Linked DNA regions of Caenorhabditis elegans. The protein of the gene in region 1 interacts with the protein of each later gene in a pairwise test. Each region holds a gene or a part of one and is shown in the gene's direction. Other genes may lie near its edges.

The links. Proteins that work in one complex are often made in the same cells at the same time.
Region 2: the proteins of nhr-8 (region 1) and znf-782 interact in a two-hybrid assay, tested with the Caenorhabditis elegans proteins (one large-scale study listed by BioGRID).
Region 3: the proteins of nhr-8 (region 1) and F53H1.4 interact in a two-hybrid assay, tested with the Caenorhabditis elegans proteins (one large-scale study listed by BioGRID).

What each region holds. Positions count from the first base shown.
Region 1 is NC_003282.8:7,707,755-7,716,413, forward strand, and holds nhr-8 (Nuclear hormone receptor family member nhr-8), read left to right. Parts: upstream 1-3,389; 5' UTR 3,390-3,394; coding exon 3,395-3,475; intron 3,476-4,023; coding exon 4,024-4,116; intron 4,117-4,164; coding exon 4,165-4,457; intron 4,458-4,782; coding exon 4,783-4,879; intron 4,880-4,925; coding exon 4,926-5,133; intron 5,134-5,336; coding exon 5,337-5,537; intron 5,538-5,583; coding exon 5,584-6,054; intron 6,055-6,101; coding exon 6,102-6,171; intron 6,172-6,246; coding exon 6,247-6,415; 3' UTR 6,416-6,444; downstream 6,445-8,659. Other genes in the region: mrpl-1 (39S ribosomal protein L1, mitochondrial), read right to left, coding at 1-22, 190-919, 969-1,194, 1,245-1,329; emc-6 (ER membrane protein complex subunit 6), read right to left, coding at 1,544-1,749, 1,793-1,872, 1,925-1,974; mrps-24 (Small ribosomal subunit protein uS3m), read left to right, coding at 2,293-2,385, 2,434-2,539, 2,592-2,692, 2,777-2,971; F33D4.6 (aECM cysteine-cradle domain-containing protein), read right to left, coding at 6,587-7,393, 7,558-7,629, 7,715-7,975, 8,539-8,589, 8,640-8,659. UniProt on the Caenorhabditis elegans protein: Orphan nuclear receptor.
Region 2 is NC_003282.8:1,064,526-1,070,811, reverse strand, and holds the start of znf-782 (C2H2-type domain-containing protein), read left to right. Parts: upstream 1-3,286; 5' UTR 3,287-3,330; intron 3,331-6,286.
Region 3 is NC_003282.8:1,306,751-1,313,165, forward strand, and holds the start of F53H1.4 (PHD-type domain-containing protein), read left to right. Parts: upstream 1-3,415; 5' UTR 3,416-3,473; coding exon 3,474-3,544; intron 3,545-3,847; coding exon 3,848-3,909; intron 3,910-3,991; coding exon 3,992-4,048; intron 4,049-4,146; coding exon 4,147-4,327; intron 4,328-5,376; coding exon 5,377-5,650; intron 5,651-6,270; coding exon 6,271-6,415. Other genes in the region: ddx-46 (RNA helicase), read right to left, coding at 1,159-1,712, 2,639-2,894.

The sequences.
Region 1 (8,659 bases):
TTTTGTTCTTTCTCTTTTCAATCTGCAAAAAATGGAATTTTGAACGTTTTCGCACAAATGTCGGCATGGTAACTCGAAACAGAAAAAATAATTTTTCTTGAAGAATTTAAAAATTAATGAGATACTACGAAGAAATAATGAAATTTAAGCGATATTATTAAGCGTCGTCAAAAACCATTTAAAAATTACCTTTTCAATTTCTTCTTCTGTTGGAATTGGAATCCATGGTTTTACATCGATAGCGTAATTTTCTTCTCCTGGAATTGTCATCAAAAGTGCTCGATTGACAAATGAACCAAGTGCAGGATTACGATGAGCACATGCGGCTGCAATTACAGTTGCGATATTGGCTTCAATATGTTCATTTGGCATTGATAACCGTCCAACAACGCAATCACTGAGCCCCCAAATGGGATATACAGGATCTCCTTTGATATTAAGTTTCACTCCGTTCTTGAATTTTTCGATAAGCTCTGGAAGATTTTCTCCGAGACCTCCATTAGCTCTTGTTGGGAATCTCATTTTAAGAATTCCACGTAGTGGAAGAATCGATGATCCCATATCTGAATGAGATACACAGAAATCATAATCGTCCGTCCTGAACTGTCCCTTGATGATTTTTTTGATGGTATCTTGTCCAAGAGCCATTTCAGCTCCAGATTCTACAGCCAGTTCTTGAAGTTTCACATCATTAGCGAATGCTAAAATGGTTCTTTTTTCGTTATGATTGAATGGATGAGGGACTGGGACAATTTCATCACTTCCTGTGACCATTTTCGTCTGCCTCTCAGTTGTCATGTTAAGTTCAAGGCGAAGACGGATTGGAGCATTTGGATTATTGTAGATTGATGGGCTTTGAAGTTCACGATGCATGTCAAGAGCTTCGGAGACTGTGTAGTATTGCGTTTTGAAGTGAGATCTGAAACATTTTAGAATAAAAAATAGAAATCACAAAACAGGTCTGATACTTTATGAAAACATCCAATGTTGGCTTTTCAGGGAGATTAGCTTCATCGTCAATGTTGAGTCTGCCTGGAAATTGTTGAGATGGTGATAGAAGATTTTTCATTCGCCGAATATTGATTTTTTCCATGAATGAGTATTGTTTTCTGGCTGCCTCTTTTTCTTCCCTTTTCATTCGTCTTTCTAGTTTTTGTTGGCGAGTGATTGTCTGCTTCAACGCTCTTTTACGCCCTTAAAATAAGTTTTTTTTAAAACTACATTTATTTTAAAAAAAAACGAACCTCTAATCTGAATAACATCCGCTGACGCTGGTCGTAGAATGTTACTCCCAGTAGAAGATACCGTCTGTCGAACAAACGATAACATCCTGAAAAGAACAAATGAAAAGTTTAAATAACAAGGAAGCACATTTATAAGGTTATTTTAAAGTTATTTTATCTGTTAAAACAGTGACGAACTATAAATAGGTAGATTAAAGCTGGATTGATTTATTAAATTGTATAAAATGTTGAAAAGAATAGATACATCTATTTTAGAAATAAATAAAAGGGAATGTAGACTTTCGCGAATAAAATGGATCTCAGTATACATGAACCATTCCGTAGAAGAATACCCAGAGCAGAACGAAAGTGAGAAGACCATTTCCGTGCGACCAAGTGAATGAGTTTCTTTCCGGAAAGTAGCTCAACCAGTTTCCTTGTGATTTCACGTTCCATATAACGGCCTGGATTCCAACAGAAATGAAATAGAGAATGAAGCCTTGAAAACCGGTAAGTCCGAGAATTCCTGTAAAAGAAGGATTTTTTAAATGATTTTTTTTGAAAATTACCTGCTGCCATACCGGCGGCGCACGACTGACACGTTCTTCCAAACTCGAGAGCTTCGACGTTGTTGGTTATCGCTGCCGTGCTGAAGAAATATATACATGATTATTGAATTCATGATTTTTACTTCGACTCACTTGTAACACTCATCGTTCTTCTTTTCTGCTTTTGACGATTTATCGGACATTTGAAAATCTGAAATTACAAATAACACTAATAATCAAAAAAGAACATGTTCTAGAACAACATAAAATTATTTAAAATTGAATAAAACTGGATTGCAAAGGGAATTTAAGAATTAAATAGAATAAATTAATAAATTTGTCTCTGAGAAATCTGTGCATTCTGACGTGACAGTGTATCAGTCCTGGGGAGCGCACTTGCAATATTCTTTTTTTAGCTAATTTTTTTTCTTTAAAAATATTGCATTTGCCTCGCTTTTATACTGAATCGCTTTTATAAATATATTTTTCTGCTTAAAATATTATTTTTATAAATTTCAGACATGCTTCGAAGTATACAACATGTCGAAGCCCTCAGCAGTCGTCAAATTTCGACAACATCGATGCTTCTCAAGAACAGAGCGGGTAAAACCAAGGTTTGTTGATCTTTCAATTATTTTCCCATTTATATTTTGCAATTTCCGTCTACATCAAATAGAACACAACTTCTTACATACGAAATGGCTCAAAAACCACATCATATTGGCGTGCGAAAATCGTGGCTCACATGGCATTCACAGAATCTCGAAGGTTTGTTCCAAAACTGAATTACGATTTAACAATTTTTAAAATTTGTTTTTAGAATTCCGTCAATCTCAACCACTGGTTGTTGCACAAGATGAAGTTGTTCGTCGGTTCATTCGAGGATTTTTCCCACAAAATTTAGTCGTTAGTGGAAATGAGGTAATAACTTATCAAAAAAATTTTAAAATTCAGTATAGTATCTATTTCTCTTATCCAAGTTTGCAAAACTTCACATTTTTCCAGATTGTAATCAAACGACGAGGAAACGTACTGATCGTTGCCGGATTCCTTCAATATTCGCGTCGACTCGATATTCGAAGAATCTACTGGATGTTCGGGTTTGCAGAAGAATTTCTTTCCATTCTTCTGAAACAACCAGTGAAGCTAGAAATGGCATTTGTGGAATCCGAAGAAGATGTAGCATACAACTATATCTAAAACTTTCATCTTTGTTATAGAACCGAAATACCGTAGTTTTATTTTACTTCTTTAATTGTTTCTGTTGTGTTCCAAAAAACAAAATAAATCTGAATTTTGGCATTTGGATTCTGGATTTTGGTCCCTGAAAAATATACGAGAGTCAACGATAAGACTTCATAAAATTATCAATCAGCGCATTGGTTTGACAAAAATCAATAAATATTTGTGCTCACTTCGCACACTGATAAGCAAACCCCATAGTCTTTCATACAAACTATTGCGCCCTTTCAATCGTCCTTTTTAACTATACGTGAATCACAGTTAACTATGCGTCGCTCATATAATCACTGATTATTATTCGTATCTTATTCCACTTGTGGTGTGACTTATCTGCAAAACCTAACAACATTTTAATCACTAAAACAAAAATTTCGTCATTCCATGCCTTCGTCTTCTCCATCGATGGACGAGTCTCGAAGGTCTGCTGTTCCACCAAAAGAGCCTGCTGGCAGAATTTGCACAGTTAGTTTTGATATTATTTAGAATATAATCACTTTATTGAAGAGCCTCTTGACGCTGGTTTAAAAGTTGAAAAAACCATCAGAAAGTTGTAATTTTATTTTGGAAACGGCGTGAGATTTTTCGATTTTTGCTTAAAAAATACGGTATCCGGTCTCGCCAAGACAAGTCTTTAAGGAGTACTGTAATTTCAAACTTTAGAAGAACATGCATATTTAACGTGAAAAACTAAAATAAAACACATAAATGTTTTTAAAAAAGTATTAATAGCTATGAATTATCAATGAAAATTCCACAGCTTGAAATTACAGTAATCTTCAAATGCACACAGCTTTTTGTACTGAACAAAGATTGTCGTGCCGAGACCTGGTACCGTATTTTTGACCTAAAAATCAAAAAGAAAATTCCGTTTGGATACATATCGTCTTTTCCAAAACGTAAGATGAGTTCCATAGTGGATTACTACAAATCTGGTGGTATTTTTGTAAAAATATAATAGAAAAACGTTTTTTCATTTATACTTCTAAACCAACAATTGTAATTAATTTTAGGTTTGCTCCGACCGTGCAAATGGATACAATTTTGGTGTACTCACTTGCGAATCTTGTAAGGCGTTTTTCAGGCGAAATGCTTCAAAGCATAAGGTTTTAAAAAAAAAAGCATACTCAAGTTGTTAAAAATTTTGTGTTAAGGAAATTAAATGTCCTTTCTCTGATTCTTGTCAAATCACATCAGCATCTCGCAAGTTTTGCCAAGCTTGTCGATTGAATAAATGTTTTGCTGTTGGAATGAACAGTGAATGGTTAAATGATTTGAAACCGAAGAGTTCAATTGTTTCTGGAAAATTCAAAAGAAAGAAGCCTGATATGAAGAATAACTTGAAAGTGGAAGTAGATGATACTGAAGAAGATTTGGAAAATGATGATGAAGAACAAATTAGTGTCCCCAAAGCATTACTTGAAAAGCTTATCAATAAAGCTAATGAGTAAGTTTCAATGAAATTATCCGGAAATAATAAACTACTGTTTCAACAAATTTACTATAATATAACGGGAAAATAACAAAAAAACGCCTTTACCCCAGAATGCAAAAACAGTAGCCGCGCACGTATGTAGGCATGAAGAAGTGCCTACCATGGCAGCCTTAGCACGTTCTCACATTTATTCAATTGAATCTATTTAATTAAAGTGGTCTCTCGATAACCTGTGATATGTACCGTATGAGAAAGTACAATTATCTAATCAGTAGATCACACAAGACCACAAAACTACGTCACTCTAGTAACAGACAATCGTACATTGAACTTTCAGAAAATCAAAAGACAGATGTACATGCAAATGCCAGTGTGGATTCTATCCAATTACTCAAAGACTCACCGCATACGAACCAAAGGATACAACAGCTGTGGTTAGTAGAGTTTAAAATACAAGAAAATCAATTATTTTATATTCAGAACAGTCCACAAGATATATCATTCTCCCATCATCTTCATCATTCGGATTCGTTTTATTCTTCATCTACTTCAACTCTTTCTCCAATGTCGGTTATCAGTTGTGCTCCATCTTCACATGATTCCAGTGGTTACAATACTTCTCAACTTGTTACTCAATCTCCAACCAACTACACAGTTTCTCCGGCGTCTATACCGAGCTCAATAACTGGTATGTTTTTAGGAGCAGCTCGTGAAGCTGAACGCTAGAACCTCACTGTCAAAAATGTTTGACAACAAGCCAGACATAACTCATCTAGAAGGCTATCACTACGAATTCAAAGTAGGCAGAAGAGTTACGTCCGCCTTCCGAGCCGACAAGAAAACACTTTTATTAATACGTACTGAAGTAAAGAATATACGTCTAAAATTTAGAACTGTCTCCACAAATGCCATCGCAATATCCTCCAATGTTATCACCATTTCAATTTGGTGTTATGGCCCAAATGGCTGCGCCAGCCAACTTTTTGAATTTTCCTCCAATGCCTGAAAGAACATGGACTCCAATTCAAGCAGTGTCCACAGTTCCAGTAACTGAAACTCTACCTCCAAATTTGCTAGAACAAATTCATTCAAGTACTGTTTCATGTCATCCATAAGTTTGAATTTTGCAACTTTTCAGAGATTGACAAATACATTGGAGTTTTGAATGAAGACGAGATAACTCTTTTAGAAGAACTTCATGTACAAAATGAGCCATTAAATGCTCCACTAATTCAATGGCACAATCCGAAAAGCATTGATGGAGTTTTTAGAATAATAGAAGAAGCTCTACGAAGGATTGTTAACATGGCATGCCAATTAAGTCTATTCCGAGAGCTTCACGTGGACGATAGGAAAAATCTCTTGAAAAGTGGATTTGGGGAGTTGTTGATTGTGCGGGGTCTTATGGCCTATGACAAGAGTGATAACAGCTGGAATCATTCATTTGGAGTACGAGGAAAAATGGAGGTAAAGGTGGAAGTTCTTAAGAATCCAAAACTTGAAGAACATTACAAAGCACACATGAACTTGCTTTCAACGTTTGGAGAAGATGTGAGGAATAATGAACATTTGATGCTCATTTTCAATGCAGCTGTTATATTTCATCCTCGTGAGCCAGTTTTTCAAAATTGATTCGTTTTAAAGTTATTAATTCAGATGTCTCCAACTTACGTGATAGTAAACGAGTGCACTCAACACAAGCAAAATATTTCCAGATGCTCTTGAAGTAAGTACTGTACGAGAAAAGCACGTATTGTATAACTTTTTGATTATAACATTTTTAATATTGTCCTACTTTCAGACTTCTTACATTTGAATATGGTAAATCACGTGCTGACATTGCATACAGTAATCTTCTGAATCAAGTCGTCGAGCTTCATCGTGTGAATAGGACCTTACTTCGTGTGTTTTATGGACTAGATATTGCTCAATTGGATCCTCTGATACGAGAATTATGTTCTTTTGAATAACCATTTATTAACCATGAATTATTGCACATATTGCACACTTATTAACATGAGAAAGTTTTTGAGAAAATTGCACAAAAGTCAAGGGCAGAAAGATGGAGAAAATATTACAAACAAATACACGTAGATCTGGATCGAAATCAAAATAAAAATTAATATAAAGGTATTAATTAATTACTCCTCTTTCAACCACTTTTGGCACTTGGCAACATAAGCATGAGAACGAGCACATGTTAGTGCTGGATAATAGTTCTCAATAAAGTAACAGTGCTCTTTTGCGAACTCTTCAACGGTATCAAACAAGAATTGACGTGCGAAGCTACGAAGGTTCAAGCATTGATGCTTTGTCACAACAGCTCTCTTTTTGTTTTTCTTGACACGTTGAGCACGTGTAACTGGAGCTTCAGTGGTGGTGGTGGTTGTTACATCTTCTTCTTCATCTTCAACTAACTCTTCTGCTTCAATAACATCATCTTCCTCTTCCTGTTCCACGGCAGCTGTCACAACTTCTTCCTCTTCTTCTTCTGGTGTAGTTGTTGGAGCTTCAGTAGTAGTTGTTGTGGTTGTAGTCTTCATTTTTGAGAGACGAATTCTCTTCATAACTCTCTTTCTAACCTCCTTATTCAAAAGTTCTTCTTCCTGCTCTTTTGTCAACATCTGAACCTTGCTGCTTCTCTGTTCGATAGCATCATTCATTGGAGTATCATTTTGAACTTCTTGTTGGGTTGTTTCCTGTCTTTTTGGGCTCTCTTGAACCTCATCAACTCCATCGAATTGCTCAGCAAACTCTTCGGATGGTGGGGAAACACTTGGAGCCACTTGGGTCTTCCATTGCTCGTCATAAAGATCTGGGAACTTGCGGATCTCTTTCTTTTCTTTCTTTGATGTTTTGTGACTCTTTCTCATCTTTCTCTTCTTCTTTGGTGGTTCAGTCGTTGCTTCTTCTTCCTCCTCAACTGGTTTCTCTTCAACCTTTTCATTCTGAAATGATAAAAATGAGGATTTTTAAACTAAAAAGATATTCCCAAATGAGTTATTAGTTGAATTTGCAGCTAACGTGCTGACAGCAATTGAGTGCAAATTAAAAAGGCCCCCAAAATTAACTTATCCGAAGGCATCTAAAAGTGCATAAAACAAAAAGTTACTTCTTCAACTTTGACGACACGTGGTTTGCGAATCTTTCTTTTACGATTGATGCTGTACACACGAATGCTTCCCTGAGACAAGTGTTAGATTAGCAAATGTGATTGATTAGAATGAACAGAGTATACCAAGAAGAGAGAGAGAATAAATAAGACTTACCTCTTTTTGAAGAATATTGACTGGTTCCTGTTCCTCCTGTGCTTGAATATCGATTGGATCACTCATCTGAACAGTTTTTGCTCCAAATTGACGAGAATGCATGTCTTTTCCCTTTTTTTCAAGATAATGAATCTTTCGTCTTGGAAGGGACTTGCGTTTTGGTTTAATTGTCTCTTGCTCAACTTCTTCAATTGTCGTGACTTCTGGTTCTTCGGTAGTGGTTGGAGTGGTAGTGGTTGTTGGATCAGTGAACAAGTTGATCTGAAAATAATGGAATTGAAACTATACTTTGTAGTTTTTGTGTGGGTTTTTTTTTCAAATTTTTACTTTCATTTTTCAGTTTCTTGGATGCATTTATGGAGCCACTTCAGCACTTCTACAAAATAAGACAGTGGGACTTGTTCCCCGATATTTGTCAATAAATTTAATGATAAAGTATAGACAATTATTTACTTTATTGAAAAATAACTACCATTTTATTTGAATAAATTGGAAAAATAATCAAAAATCGTATGAGTTCAAAATTGCTGGTGAAAATTGCCGAACAATTTTTCGGTAATGTTCCCCCAGATAATTTCAACTTTCAGATAATTTTTGAGCACTTTCTCAGTCCAAATCAGTCCCAAATCAAACAAAACGCATTTTCAGATAAAGTAAATATTTCTCTATATTACAACTTCGAAATTTAATGTAAAATAACGGAGAACATGCACACTGTTGCTGCGCAGTCCTGGTCATTCGTGCTTTGAAGTGATACTGATAAAACGTTTTCCAAATATGTAGTAAAACAAAAGTATTGAAATTCATGAAAAATATTAACTTACCATTGGAGGGAATGTTGGGGCCAAGAATTCAGTAGCCTCAGACCGGGATTTCTAAAAAAAATTGGTAACGCGATAATTCAATTATACAAAGCCCGACGAACCACTTGTTTAATCTCTACTC
Region 2 (6,286 bases), 6.6 Mb from region 1:
ACTTTACTCCCCTTTTACCGATGGCCCTGAGTGTTGCTCATCAGAAAAAAAATTGCCTATTTTTAACACTTCAATCTCTAGCCCTCTATTTCTCCAGCTCTCCAATTTCCCAGAAGGCACGGACAAGCACGGGGGGCGCAACACCGAGAGCAACACAGCAGGAAAATGCAAAAACATAAAAACGAAAAAAAAAAAATTCCGTCCCGTTCTCTCACCAGTCTCTTCAGTGACGCCGCTCCTCTCGCCGGGGCGCTGCGACTCTCTGCGTCTCATGCTGGTTAAGCTGACCAGGCGACTGGTCAGGGGAGGACGGGGGGCTCCGTATCTGTCGGTACCACTTTCAGGGAGAGTATGGGGGAATGATGAAACGAGAAAAAGGGAAGAGATAGAAAAAAAAAGAGGAAAACATTTTTTTGTTTGCATGCAATTTTTTTTTATGTGGCGATAATTTTTTGATGTTATATGTCGGTTTTGTTTCTGATAGGTTAAGGGTGCATAGGACCTAGCCAAGCCATTTAAAGCTCTAAGCCTTAAAGTCTAGTGTCTTTAGATCCTTCCATAACCACCTAGATCCCTTGAAGAATCTCAAAAGCCTTTCATTCAGCCACCCGATCAAAGCTTACGACATCAAAACCGAGCTTATTACCCAAATTTCGAAATTTTGTCGGTTTTGTTTCTGATAGGGTGTAATTGGTAATCTAGATGCCTTCAGGCTCTCCCGTTCTTCGCTAGATAAATAAAACAGCTTGATACGCCTAAACAGGAAGTTGCATCGCTCATACCTACAGTTCGACCTTTCAAATCTGAAGCTAAAGTCTAAGCTTGATCCGTTTGGACTAAATAAAAACTTTTAGCCCGAATGTATGTAGACCAAAATGTAGACTCCCTGTACTATATGTAGGTTCTGTATTACCCTGGCTTACACCTGTTGTTCATCTTCTAGCTCAGTTGTTTCTTACTCAAAGTCCTTGAGTTTTCTAGTCCAAAGACCAGTAGGCCCTAAGCCCAAGGAGGTCCAGTAGGCCCGTGAAGCTCAAGACCCCTTGACTTCAAGAATTTTCAACTCCAAGGTCCCAAGCAACCCCTACCCCCCCCCCCCCCCCCCGCTCCTAGTTTTTTTCCTCATTTTTCTGCCAGCCTAGTCTCTGCTAGGCAGGCGGAGCCAGTGTGCCGGTCGGTGCCAGCGCGGTGCGACGCGGAACGACAACAACAACAGAAGTTTCTAGTATTAGTCGTAGTAGTACTAGTTGGTCGACTGGAAAAGTACCTTGAGGTGTCAGAATTGCAGAGAGCCAAAGGTTGGCCTCAGGTCTAGGCTTAGGCTCAGGCTTAGGCTTAGTCTAAGGATTAGGCTTAGGCTTAGGCTTAGGCTTAGGCTGAGCAGGGGACAAAAAGAGAGCAAAAAGAAATCCCCAGAAAATTCAATAATTCTGAAAAAAACCTGACCTTTTCGACCGGTTTTTGGGCTTTTGGACTTAGAAGGCCTACACAAGATTTTTCTAATGCTCAAGTGTATGAAAATCGAACTAGCGTTTTTGATGCCTCGGTGCTTATCACCTTAGAATTCCTATGCCCGTGGGCTTTGTTTTTTTTTTGAATTTCTCAAGTTTGGAACTGAATGAAGCAATGCTTTTGCACCCCCGTTTCCCTTGCTTACTCGGTTCCCTGGTTCCTTGCACGATCCCAGACCACTTTTGGCTCCCCGGTTCCCAGGCCCCCCTTAGCCCCGCTGGTCCCGTACTCCTTCCGCTCCCTGCTTGTTCTCCGCGTCTCTGCCGCTGCCGCTGCCGCGTCGTCGTCATTTTCCAGGCAAAAACATATGAAAAGAGCCATGGGTGGCTCCAGGTGGTGACCCAGCACCGTGTATTTGTGTGTGTATTTCTCGATGCTTGCAGCAGCAGCAGCAGCAGGAAAAAAGAGTGAAATAGTGTGGGGGAGGTGTGGCAGCATGTGAATCATGGATAGATGGGGGGGGGGGGGGGAGGTTTTGTAAAGAAGACAGAAGAAAAAAGTAGAGAACATACAAATACAGAAAGATATGAAAAAAGTTTTTTAGTATGGTACTTTATATTTGGTAAAAATTCGAATAAATATTGGTCCTTCTTCAAGGATCCTTTGGCCAAACTTGGGGTCTAAGCTTAGGCTGAGGTTTGAGCTCAGGCTTGAGCTTAGGCTGAAGCTTAGGCTTGGGCTTACTTATTGAAACCCTATGAGATAAAATCCGGGTCCTAGGCCCAAATTAAGCCTATTCTGCCAGACGAAAGACCCATGGTTCTTAAGTTCCCATTGAGACCAGATCGGCCAATATTCAAGGGCCTCTTTTTGAAACTCTTTGAGATAAAATAAGGGTCCTAGATCAGGATTAGCGTGGCTAAAAATAAAGTACTTAGAGCCCTGTTTGTAAGCCTTCCAGCCTAAGTATGACCTGCAAGATTAGGGCTTTCATAGACCAAATCAAACTTTCAGACCGAAATTCAAGTCCCTATGCCTTTTTTGATACTCTTTATGATAAAATTTTGGTCCTAGATCAGAATTAGGGTTTCTAGGCTTTTTTTGCCAGACTAAACAGGTAGGAAACGTAACTCAACACTTGGACCATTTAGGTTATTTTTGGGGTATTGTGGCCCTTTTTGCTTCATAACTCCTTTTTGGGCCAAAACTAGAGTCTCTAGAACCCTGTTTGTAACCCTTTCGGGAAAAGTTATGGCCTGGCCAAGACTGGCCAATATCAATGCCTTTACAGCCCAAATCAAACGTTCAGACCAAAATTCCAGTCCCTAGACCGATCACCTTTTAGTCCGTAATTTGGCTCCCTACCTATAAAAAGTATAAACATGCCAAAATTAGGTTGCAAAAAAGACCCAGTCTATGATTTTTGGCATTTTAGACTCCGTTAGGCTGAAATATAGCTCAGGATCCTAACACTTAGACCTTTTTGACCTAAATATAGATTTCTCAATTCAGAATTTCAGTTTTTAGACCTCCTAGACCTATTTGAGAGAATTCTCAAAAATTGTGCGATTTCCCATACCCTTATCAATTTTGTGTTGTTTGGTGGTTTGTTGCTCCTTCCTTCTTCTTCTTCTTCTTTTTTGAATGTCATTTTTTCAACCACTGGTCATTCTTTTTCCCACACTCTGCGTCTCTAAGTGGCCAGCGGGGGGGCGCCCCGACGTGCCAGTCGACACCAGGAGGGGCGCGCGGAACGAGCCGATAGAGCGTGCGAGACGAAGAGACGCAGGCATTTTTCCGCAGTGCTCGTCGCGTCGCATCATGCCGCTTCCGCACTCCGCCGCGCGCGAGGACTCTTCGAGAAAAAGACGAAAAAACGTGAGTGAGTTTGGCCTATCTGGAGCTCTCTAGAAATTTCTGGGACCTGTCTAGGCTTGGACCCATCTAGGGTTGGGTTTGGGCCCTTTTTTATCAGTTTTCAAGTGCAACATTGAATTTCAAACGACACTCCGTTATCCCTCTAGTGCTTGATGTTTAGCCAATTTAACTTGAAGTTTTTTTTTAAAGAAAAAGTTCCAAATTTCGGGCCAACTCCCTCTAATCACAGATTAAATTATGAATTTAAAATTTATCAGCTTTGCACCACCGACCACCAAAACAAAATCGATTTCACCACTAGAAGCCTTCAAGTTTTGAAATTTACTAGTTTCTAACGACACTCCGCTATCCCCTAGCGCGCTCTGTTTATCCAATAATTTTTGGTGGGAATTTGAAATTTTACATGACTTTTTTGTGCATTATTACCAGCTTTTTTGCACAAAAAAAAAAGAGAACTTGCAATTTTTCAAACTTTCAAACGACGCTCCGCTATCCCACCAATCGCGCCCTGTTTATCCAGTAAGTTGTCTATTGGTAATAAATGTTTTATTCATTATTCTATACATTTGTAGTTGATATGTAACTAATATCGCTAAAATAAACCAAAATAAAAACATGGTGCATCGATAAGTTTTGCAAACTTAACTTTACCAGCTCTATATCTAAATTGTCTCTGGGTTTATAAAATAATTATCAACTGACAAAATATTGCTCACCTCTTTTTCTACATTAACCCGTGGAAAAAATTACAAATAGCATAAAAAGCCGAGATATTGGCTTGCCTAACATAGTTTGCCCAAAAAAAAACTCGACAAAAGTGACCAGTTTTCTCTGAAACAATGACCTGGTCATTTGAACTGGTTTCTCACCATCCCGTCACTCTTTCAATTGTCTACTTCTGTGTTTGGTTTTTTTTTGGGAGGTTGTTTTCATTTGTTGTTATATGGGAGAGAGAGAGTGAGGCTATTGTTTTATCTTGGGACTCCTCCTCTCGGAACTTTTTAATAATTGTTTCATTCTTCATAATTCCTTACATATTTTGGCTGGTTTTGGTTTTATCGGAATTTTTTTTTTTAAATTAACACTTCTTAGATAGAGTCTGTCGAAGAAAAGTTCTGAACATGGTGCATCGAGGCCATATTTCGGTTACGTTTAGTTAAGCTGTTTTTCATAATTTTTTCTACATTGATTTCATATGACTCAACTTTGAAGTGTAGGGCTCCTATGTAGGCGATAAAACGCCTACCTGCCTGGCCTTCAGGCGATCTCCGCCTGCCTCAATACTTATGCTAAATCATACGTGTTTTTTTTTTCTTTTTTTTTTAATTTGAAAATCATCAGTGTAAATACACCTAAAATGCATAAAAGGGGAAAAAGCAGGCAGGTTTCAGGCAGGCTTCAGGCCCCGCGCCTGCCTAAAATCTAGTCCATGCACCATGATCTGAAATCACTATCAACCCAGTTTTCAAAGGTCCTATCCACATTTTCCACCAATCCCGTTAATCCGTACTACATGTAGGTCAAACACATGGTTTTTGAAATCCAACTAGATATAGCCATAAATGTTTGTATGTGGTCAAAGTTTCTCTCTCATTTTTCCAACAAAAAAAGAACGCACACACACACATATGTTTGTATGTGGTGTCTACCTATTATTATCTATGGTTGGACGGGCATCATCATGTCACCGGCAGGCACCCATAGCTCCGTGCCAGGCCGCTTGCCGCCGCGCCGGCAGGCATGCGGTCACGCGGAATGGGTTACGAGGGGGTAACCTGATACCACGAGTTGGGGTGACCAGGGTATGTGATAAGGTAAAAGGTTACGTATTTGAGTATTTGAAAATAAAAGGTTAGTGATTTTGAATGGGAAATAGGAAACTTTGTGAAATTTAAAAAAACATGGTGCATCGACTGAAAATCCTTCGTCAGCTTTTTGACGTCTTGTATTTCAGTTGTGTTTGGTGTTATCAAAACATTGTCTAGTGACAAAATGTTTATTATAACCTTTTCTATAATAATGTAGTTTAACAATTTTTGATATCTCTTTAAAAAACCAAGATATGATCATTCAAAGTAAAATGCCAAGCACAACTTCATTGGTTCAAATCTTGGTTGTTTTTGGTTCAAAAATTGGCAACAGACAAAACATTTCTTATATCTTTCTCTATAGTTCTATTTTTAAACATTTTTTGATATCAGTAAAAGTAATCGAGATATAAGCTGTCAAAGTTAATCGGCAAAACATGGTGCATCAACTGTTACAGTGATCGTACCCCTATCGTAATTTTTCTGTAATTCTACAGTAGCCCTACAGTAATACTACAGTAGCCCTACCGTAATTTTTTTGTATTTCTACAGTAGCCCTACATTAATACTACAGTAATCCTACAATACCCCTCTAAAACCTCAAAGTTTTCATGTAGTAACTGAACCCCTCCAGGTGCAAAAATTGCTGCCAGGTGCAAAATTTCACGAGGTGTTCGGAAAAGTTTAGACTCCTTAAATGCTAAAAATCTTTTTGGACCCTTGGATTCTTTCACCTCTCCTCATACTAATATCCTACTCTTTCAAGACTACTAGTCCCTAGTCACCAAAACATAAATGACGAATTCCTACGTGCGTTCTTTTGCTCCTTTTGCTCCGCGCGGAGCCCACCGAACGCCGGAGCCAAAACAATTATTATATGCCGTGTGTGTGTGTTGTGTGTGTTCCGCGCGGATAAGAAGAAGACGCAGTTGAGAAGAAGCGTGCCAGTCGCCGTGTTTGTTTTGGCGCAGCGTCGTCGACGGGGTGGTCTTGAAGAGCGGCGAGGAGGCGCCTGGTACCAGTAGTCGGGGTGGGGTGGGTGAGGGCTAGGGCATCAGAGAAACCAGACGTTTTTTTTGTTCGCATGCTTCTTCTCCGCTGTGTGTTGTTGTGCTGCTGCCACCTCGAACGTCGGAACATCATGGCAC
Region 3 (6,415 bases), 6.4 Mb from region 1:
TTGCGCAAAGTCTGAAAAAGTTGGGTCTCGCCACGAAAAAAAACTATTCGAATTTCCTACTAAAAAAAAAAACAAAAAATACAAATTTCGATTTTCATGGGAAAAACATCGAAAAATTCAAGAATTTGCCGTTTTTTCCGTAAAAAACGAATTTTTTTCCTGAAAAAAGCCACAAAAAATTCCGAAAATCAAGCGGAAAAGCTAAAAATTCTAATTTTCAGCAGGATTTTGATTTAAAAAATTAGAACAATCCAAGAAACCACTAGGTTTTCAACAAAAAATTGGAAATTGAGCAGAATTTTTCAGTTTTTACAGCTTTAAAAAAAAACATCATAAATTCCGAGTTACCGTACCCAAATTTATAGCTTTCCTCGGAAACTGGGATTTAAAAAAAACAGAAAATTGTCAGAAAAAAGGGTTTTTATGGGTTTTTTTTTCAAATTTTATAATAAATTTTAATGTCGAAATTTCCAAATTTTCTACTTTACACCCGAAAACAGCCAAATTTCCGCGCTAAATGAAAATTTGGGCATAGCTTCCGCATCCCCGGTGACAAATGTGCTCTATTGCACCGAATTGTTGGTTGGAATACGGTATTTATTGCATATTTCAGCCGAGAATACCACTATTCAAACCATCAATTCGGATAGAGAAACACACAAGTCACATTTTCATGAAATTTACACCTAATCATACTGGAAATCGGTATTTTTTTTTTCTATTTTGCTTGCAGTTTTGGCAATTTTTTCGGAAAAAATGAGCTGAAAAACGTGTTTTTTCAGAAAATTTTCAGGATTTTTGGCGTTTTCAACCGAAAATATTCAAAATTTTATAGACAAATCTGAAAAATTCCAGAATTTTCATGTATTTTTAATACTTTTCTCTTAGAAAATCAAATTTTTCCGATTTTTGAAGATTTTTAGGCTAGAAATATATTTTTTACACAGATAATATTGGAAATAACCAAGAAATTGGTAGAGCCTCTAAGGGACTCAAAAAAACCCGGTTTATCGGATTTTTTGGCAATTTCGTATAAAATGTCCACTTTCCAGATTTCCCACAAAATGGAAGGTTTTTAAATAATTTTTTTTCAATTTTTCTTGATTTTTTCCGAATTTTAATATAAAAATTCCCGATTTTCAACTTCTCCCGCCGCACCTCAATATAGAAATTCTTCTTGAATTTCCGATAATAGACCTTAGAATGGTCAGTTTGTGCCAACATTCGTCCTTTATGACATAATGATGCTGCAGCCGTCTCAATATCAAAATCATCAATAACCATATCCATATTATCCTCATTTTCCAGCACTTGTCCCTTTTCGGGCTCCGGCTTCTCCTCCTGCACAATTGTCACAATTCCAGACGCTTTTTGCGTGGAGTTTCCGGTTTTTTTGGCGTTTTTAGTGGCAATTTCTTTCATAAAAGCGTCCAGAGGGTCCTCTTCGTCGTCTGTATCCATTTTTTCGACTTTTTCTTCCATTTTCACCGGGTTTTCCTCTGAAATTCCCTCATTTTTGATATCAAATTCGTCTTCATCATCCTCATCCTCCAGATTCCAGGGCTTTTTCTCAGATTTTTCATCAGATTGCTCAGATTGTAGATCAAGCTCTTCCTTCTTCTTTTGGGCTCTCCACTTCTCCACATTACGACGCCTACGCTCGACTCCCTGTAGTAATTCGGCTTCTTTCATTTTCATAACTTCTTCGGTGTCTGCAAATTGATAAAATTAAGGGGTTTTTTTGCAAAAAATTGAGAATTTGGGCTTTTTCACACTTTTATGGGTAAAAGCCGGCTGGAAATTCAATTTTTTGGGTGAAATTTGAGAAAACTCACTAAAATGTTAGGTTTTTTCGTAACAAAAAGTTGAAAATTGGCCTATTTCTTGCGAAAAAAACATAAAATTCACACTTTTCTGGGTGAAAATCGTCTAGAAATTCAGTTTTTTAGGTGGAAATTGAAAAAAAATCGCTTAAATTTTTATGTTTTCTTGGGAAAAAGGTAAGAACTCTATGGATTTTGCATGAAAAGTTCATAAAATTCACATTATTTTTTGCAAAAACCATACAAATCAGTGGAAAATTGGAAAAATCGCTTAAAAATGCATTTTTCTGGGTGAAAATTAGAGTTTTTTTTTCGCAAAAAATTGAGAATTCTATGGATTTTGCATGAAAAATTCGAAAATTTCGCACTTTTCTTGGTGAAAAATCGCCTAAACTTCAATTTTTCAACCAAAAACCTTTAAATTTGAACAATTTTCGGCTCTTTCTGTTGACAAATTTGAATTTCAACGGTATAAGGCGAAAATTGAATCAAAAATTCAATTTTTCTATCCAAAAATTGTCCGAATTTCGCTTTTTTTCTCCGGAAAAATTAGAAATTGCATGAAAATAGCAAAAATAAAAACGGCAAAAATAGCTGAATTTTGATGCTTTTGGCATGAAAATCGGCTAATTTTTGCGATTTTCAGTTTAAAAAGTTTTTTTTTTTTACCTTAAAATCCTATTTTTAGGCTGAATTTCGTTCAAATTTCCCAGTTTTAACTCAAAAATTCGAAAATTGGGATTTTTCCAGGCAAAAATTTGCTTTTTTTGGCTTTTTATCGATTTTTTTTGCCAATTTTTTTTGCAATTCCTTACCATTCCGTGACTCTTCCATTTCAAAAATCGCCGTTTTACTCTCTTTTTCCTTCTTTTTCTCTGCATCTCTCTGCTTTTCACGATCTCTCGTCTTCTCCCGATCAGTGTCTCGTTCTCTGCGTCTCTCCCGATCCCGATCTCTGTCTCGATGTTCCCGGTGCTCACGACTGCCACGTGGCGAGCGGCTCCGGCTTCTTTTTCGTTCCTTTGAACGGGAACGCTTTCGTTTGTGCTCTTTGTGCTCGCCGCGACCCATCGAAAACTGGAAAAAATTGGGGATTTTTGGATTAAAATTGGGAAAAATACGATTAAAGTGTGCGAAAACAATGAAAAATCACTGGAAATTCGTTAAAACCTTCGGATTTTTATAAAAGAACAATTTTAATCATTTTTAATTTCAAAAAGTGTTTTAAAATCCAGAAAATCTGATTTTCTGCCTATTTTCTGGCCGATTTATCGTTTTATGTAAGTAATTTGACTTCAATCTTCACTTTTTCACTTAAAAAACTTCGAAAAAAGCGAAAAATCTATGGAAAATAAAATAAAAACCGAAAAAAAAAAAGAATTTCGAAAATAAAAATTTTCCGCACTACGACACTCCGAAATCCCGCCGCGCGTGTTGTTTAGCGCTTTTAAAAATTGGCGCGAACGCGCAGGTGTTCAAACACTGTCCGTCGATTTTTCTCGCATTCCTCACAATTCTGTCGCTTTATAGCCGGCTTTCGCGCAAATTTTTGTGTAAATTACGTTAAAGTCACTTAAATTCAAGTTTTCCAGTGCGAAAAACTAACAAACTACTTGTTGCAACTCGGAAATTCAAAAAGTTGATTCGCAAATGAGCCAGCGATCATTTGGAAGTGAAATTGGAAATATGACGGCTGCTACGAATTCGAATGATATTGCGGAGTAAGTTTAAACGTGAATTTAAATTTAAAATGTTTTAAATAAAAAAATAAATTTTTTTTTAACTTATTTCTCGATTCTCCAAAATTTTGAGAGTTCTTTTTATTGTTTCTGGTGTAAAATTCAACGTTCTCTTCATTTTTCACATTGAAAACCCGTGAAAATCACTAAAAACCACTGGAAATTCATGAAAATCCAATAAAAACCAATGGGTGTGCAAGCGCGCCCCATTGCGAATATTTGAATTGTTTTTCGTTTTCGACTTTTTTTCTCCGAATTTCGAGCCAAATTTCTCTCTTTTTCCAGCGTTTCGCTCGCCACACCACTAAAATCGACGGAACAAATGGAAAAGTCGGAAAATGGGACAGGTTAGTGCCGAAAAATCGTGAATTTCCACCCGATTTTCACCTAGAAACCCGAAATTCCACAAAATAATGTTTCTTTTTTCAGCCGTCTCCCGCCTCCCAAAGCCACTCGCCATTGAAGTTTACTCGAAAGTTCACAATAGTGAGTGAAAAACCCAGAAATTGTGGATTTTTCATCAAAAATCTCCAAATTTTCGCTAGAAAACTAGATTTTTCGCGGAAAAATCCCCCAATTTTCAGGCAATTTATCAGAAGATGACCTTCTCGACGAAATTGAAGACCTAATTGATGAGAAATTCTTTGCCGGAGAGAAATTAATGAGCTCTGGCAAAGAATATACAGTGGTTTCCAGTGAAAAACGCGGTGGGCTCACACTTTACACAATGGAGGACGGCACCAAAATTGGACATCGCGATTTGAGGTGAAAATTGATGGAATTGCATGGTTTTCGGTGGAAAAATGTGGCGAAAAACCGTTGAATTTCGCTTATAAATCGGAGTTTTAGGCCAAAAATGACTAAAATCGTTAAATTTTCAGATTTTTCATGCAACAAATTTGAAAATTCCGCATTTTTTCTTCATTTTTCACCCAAAAAAAAAACCACTAAAGTTACAGGTTTTCATGAAAAATTGCTTATTTTAACCGAAAAATAACAAAAAATTGATTTTTTAATTCATTTCCCACGATTTTTACTTCAAAATTATCATTTTTAGGTCATTTTTTGAATTGAAAAACGGATTTTTAGATCTTTCCTGAGCAAAAATGGGGTTTTTTTCATTGAAAAATCGAGAATATCCCAATTTTTTAACCGGTAAATACGCTGAAATCGTGTTTTTCAGCCAATTTTAGACCTTTTTAAGTGAAATATAAAGTAAATCCACAAAATAGCTGCAAAAATGCGTAATTTTCAACATTTTTGCATGAAAAATCCAAAAATTTTCATGTTTTTTGATTAAAAACTCATAAAATTCGAGATTTTTGGACGGAAAATGCTTTAAAATATAATAATTTCACATAAAAAATGCTGAAATTTTTCATTTTTGCTATAAAAAATTTGAAAAATGTCAATTTTCAGCCAAAAAAGGGTCTCTCAGTGGGCGAAATTACGAAAAATGGCCATTTTTGCACTAAAAATCCCAGAAAATTCATTAAAATTTCCTCGAAAACCCGAAATTTCCAGTGAAAATTTATGGAAAATTAGTTTTTTCGTTCAAAAATTCGATTTTCCAGACAAAATGTCCACAAAAATTTGATTTTGCGGTGAAAAGTGTAAAAAACTGCAATTTTTTTTTTCAAAAATCCGTTTAAAAAGAGTCTGAAAAAGTTCAAAGATGTAATTTTGGATGAAAATTGTGTGAAATTTCACAATTTGGCGCTTAAATTGTCTCAAAAATAAGTGGAAATTACACTTTTTATGAAGAAAAATCCAAAATTTTAGAGAAAAAACCCTAATTTTCCCTCAATTTTCAGACGAAAAAAGGGTCTATCAGTGGAAGAAATCAAGAAAATCGCCATTGAAGATGCTGAATTTGTGGATGAAAAGCAGTGGAAAGTCCGGGAAGAACTGCTCGCCGAGAATCCGATTCGTGAAATTAAAAAATATGCTCCAATATTCTCAGCAAATCGGAAATCTACGCCGAAAACTGCTCAGCTCAGTGTGGCGGCAGAAGCCGATGATTCAGATGTACAAGAGGTGTCAATGGATGCTGAAAGTGGAGCAGAAGCTGCAAATAAAAGTGCTATGGTACGGGAAAATTTCGATTTTTAGCTGGAAAATTGAGAGAAAAATCTGATTTTTCGGAGAGGAAAAGTAAAGAAAAATCAGGATGTTAGCTGAAAATTGAAAAAAAAAGTAGATTTTCAGCTGAAAAATTGACAGAAACGCTATTTTTGTAGTCAAAGCTCGATTTTTCGTAGTAAAAATACAGAAAAATTAGGATTTTTCCTAAAAAATTGAATAAAACAGTGAAAAAATCGTGATTTTGACAGAGATCAACTAAATTCCGATGATTTTTAGCTTTAAAATTGACAAAATTTGTGAGAAATTAGATTTTTCGACTGAGAAATTGAGAAAAACGCCATTTTTCATAGTAAAAAATGAGGAAAAATGGGATTTTTATTTGTAAATTTCTGAAAAAACGAGAAAAATTGGATACATTTTGTGAAAAATCGAGAAAAAAACCACATTTTACAGTGAAAAATTGACTAAAATCTCGCAAAAATCGCCAAAATTGTGCCAATTTTCACCAAAAACTGTTAGAAAATATAATTTTTTAATGTAAAAATTGACAAAAATCATGCGAAATTTCCAATTTTCTGAGAACTTTCTGTTGAAACTTGTGAAAAAACCGAAAATTTTTGCAGAAAACTCCACGTGGAGCTCCGCGAGCATCTGGAGGCCCTGTGATCCTCTCGAGCCGCCGTTTACAAGAAAAACAGAAGGAAAAAGATGAAAAAGAGAAGGAAAAACTGGAGAAAAAGCAGAAAGAACAGGAAGAGAAGAAGCAGA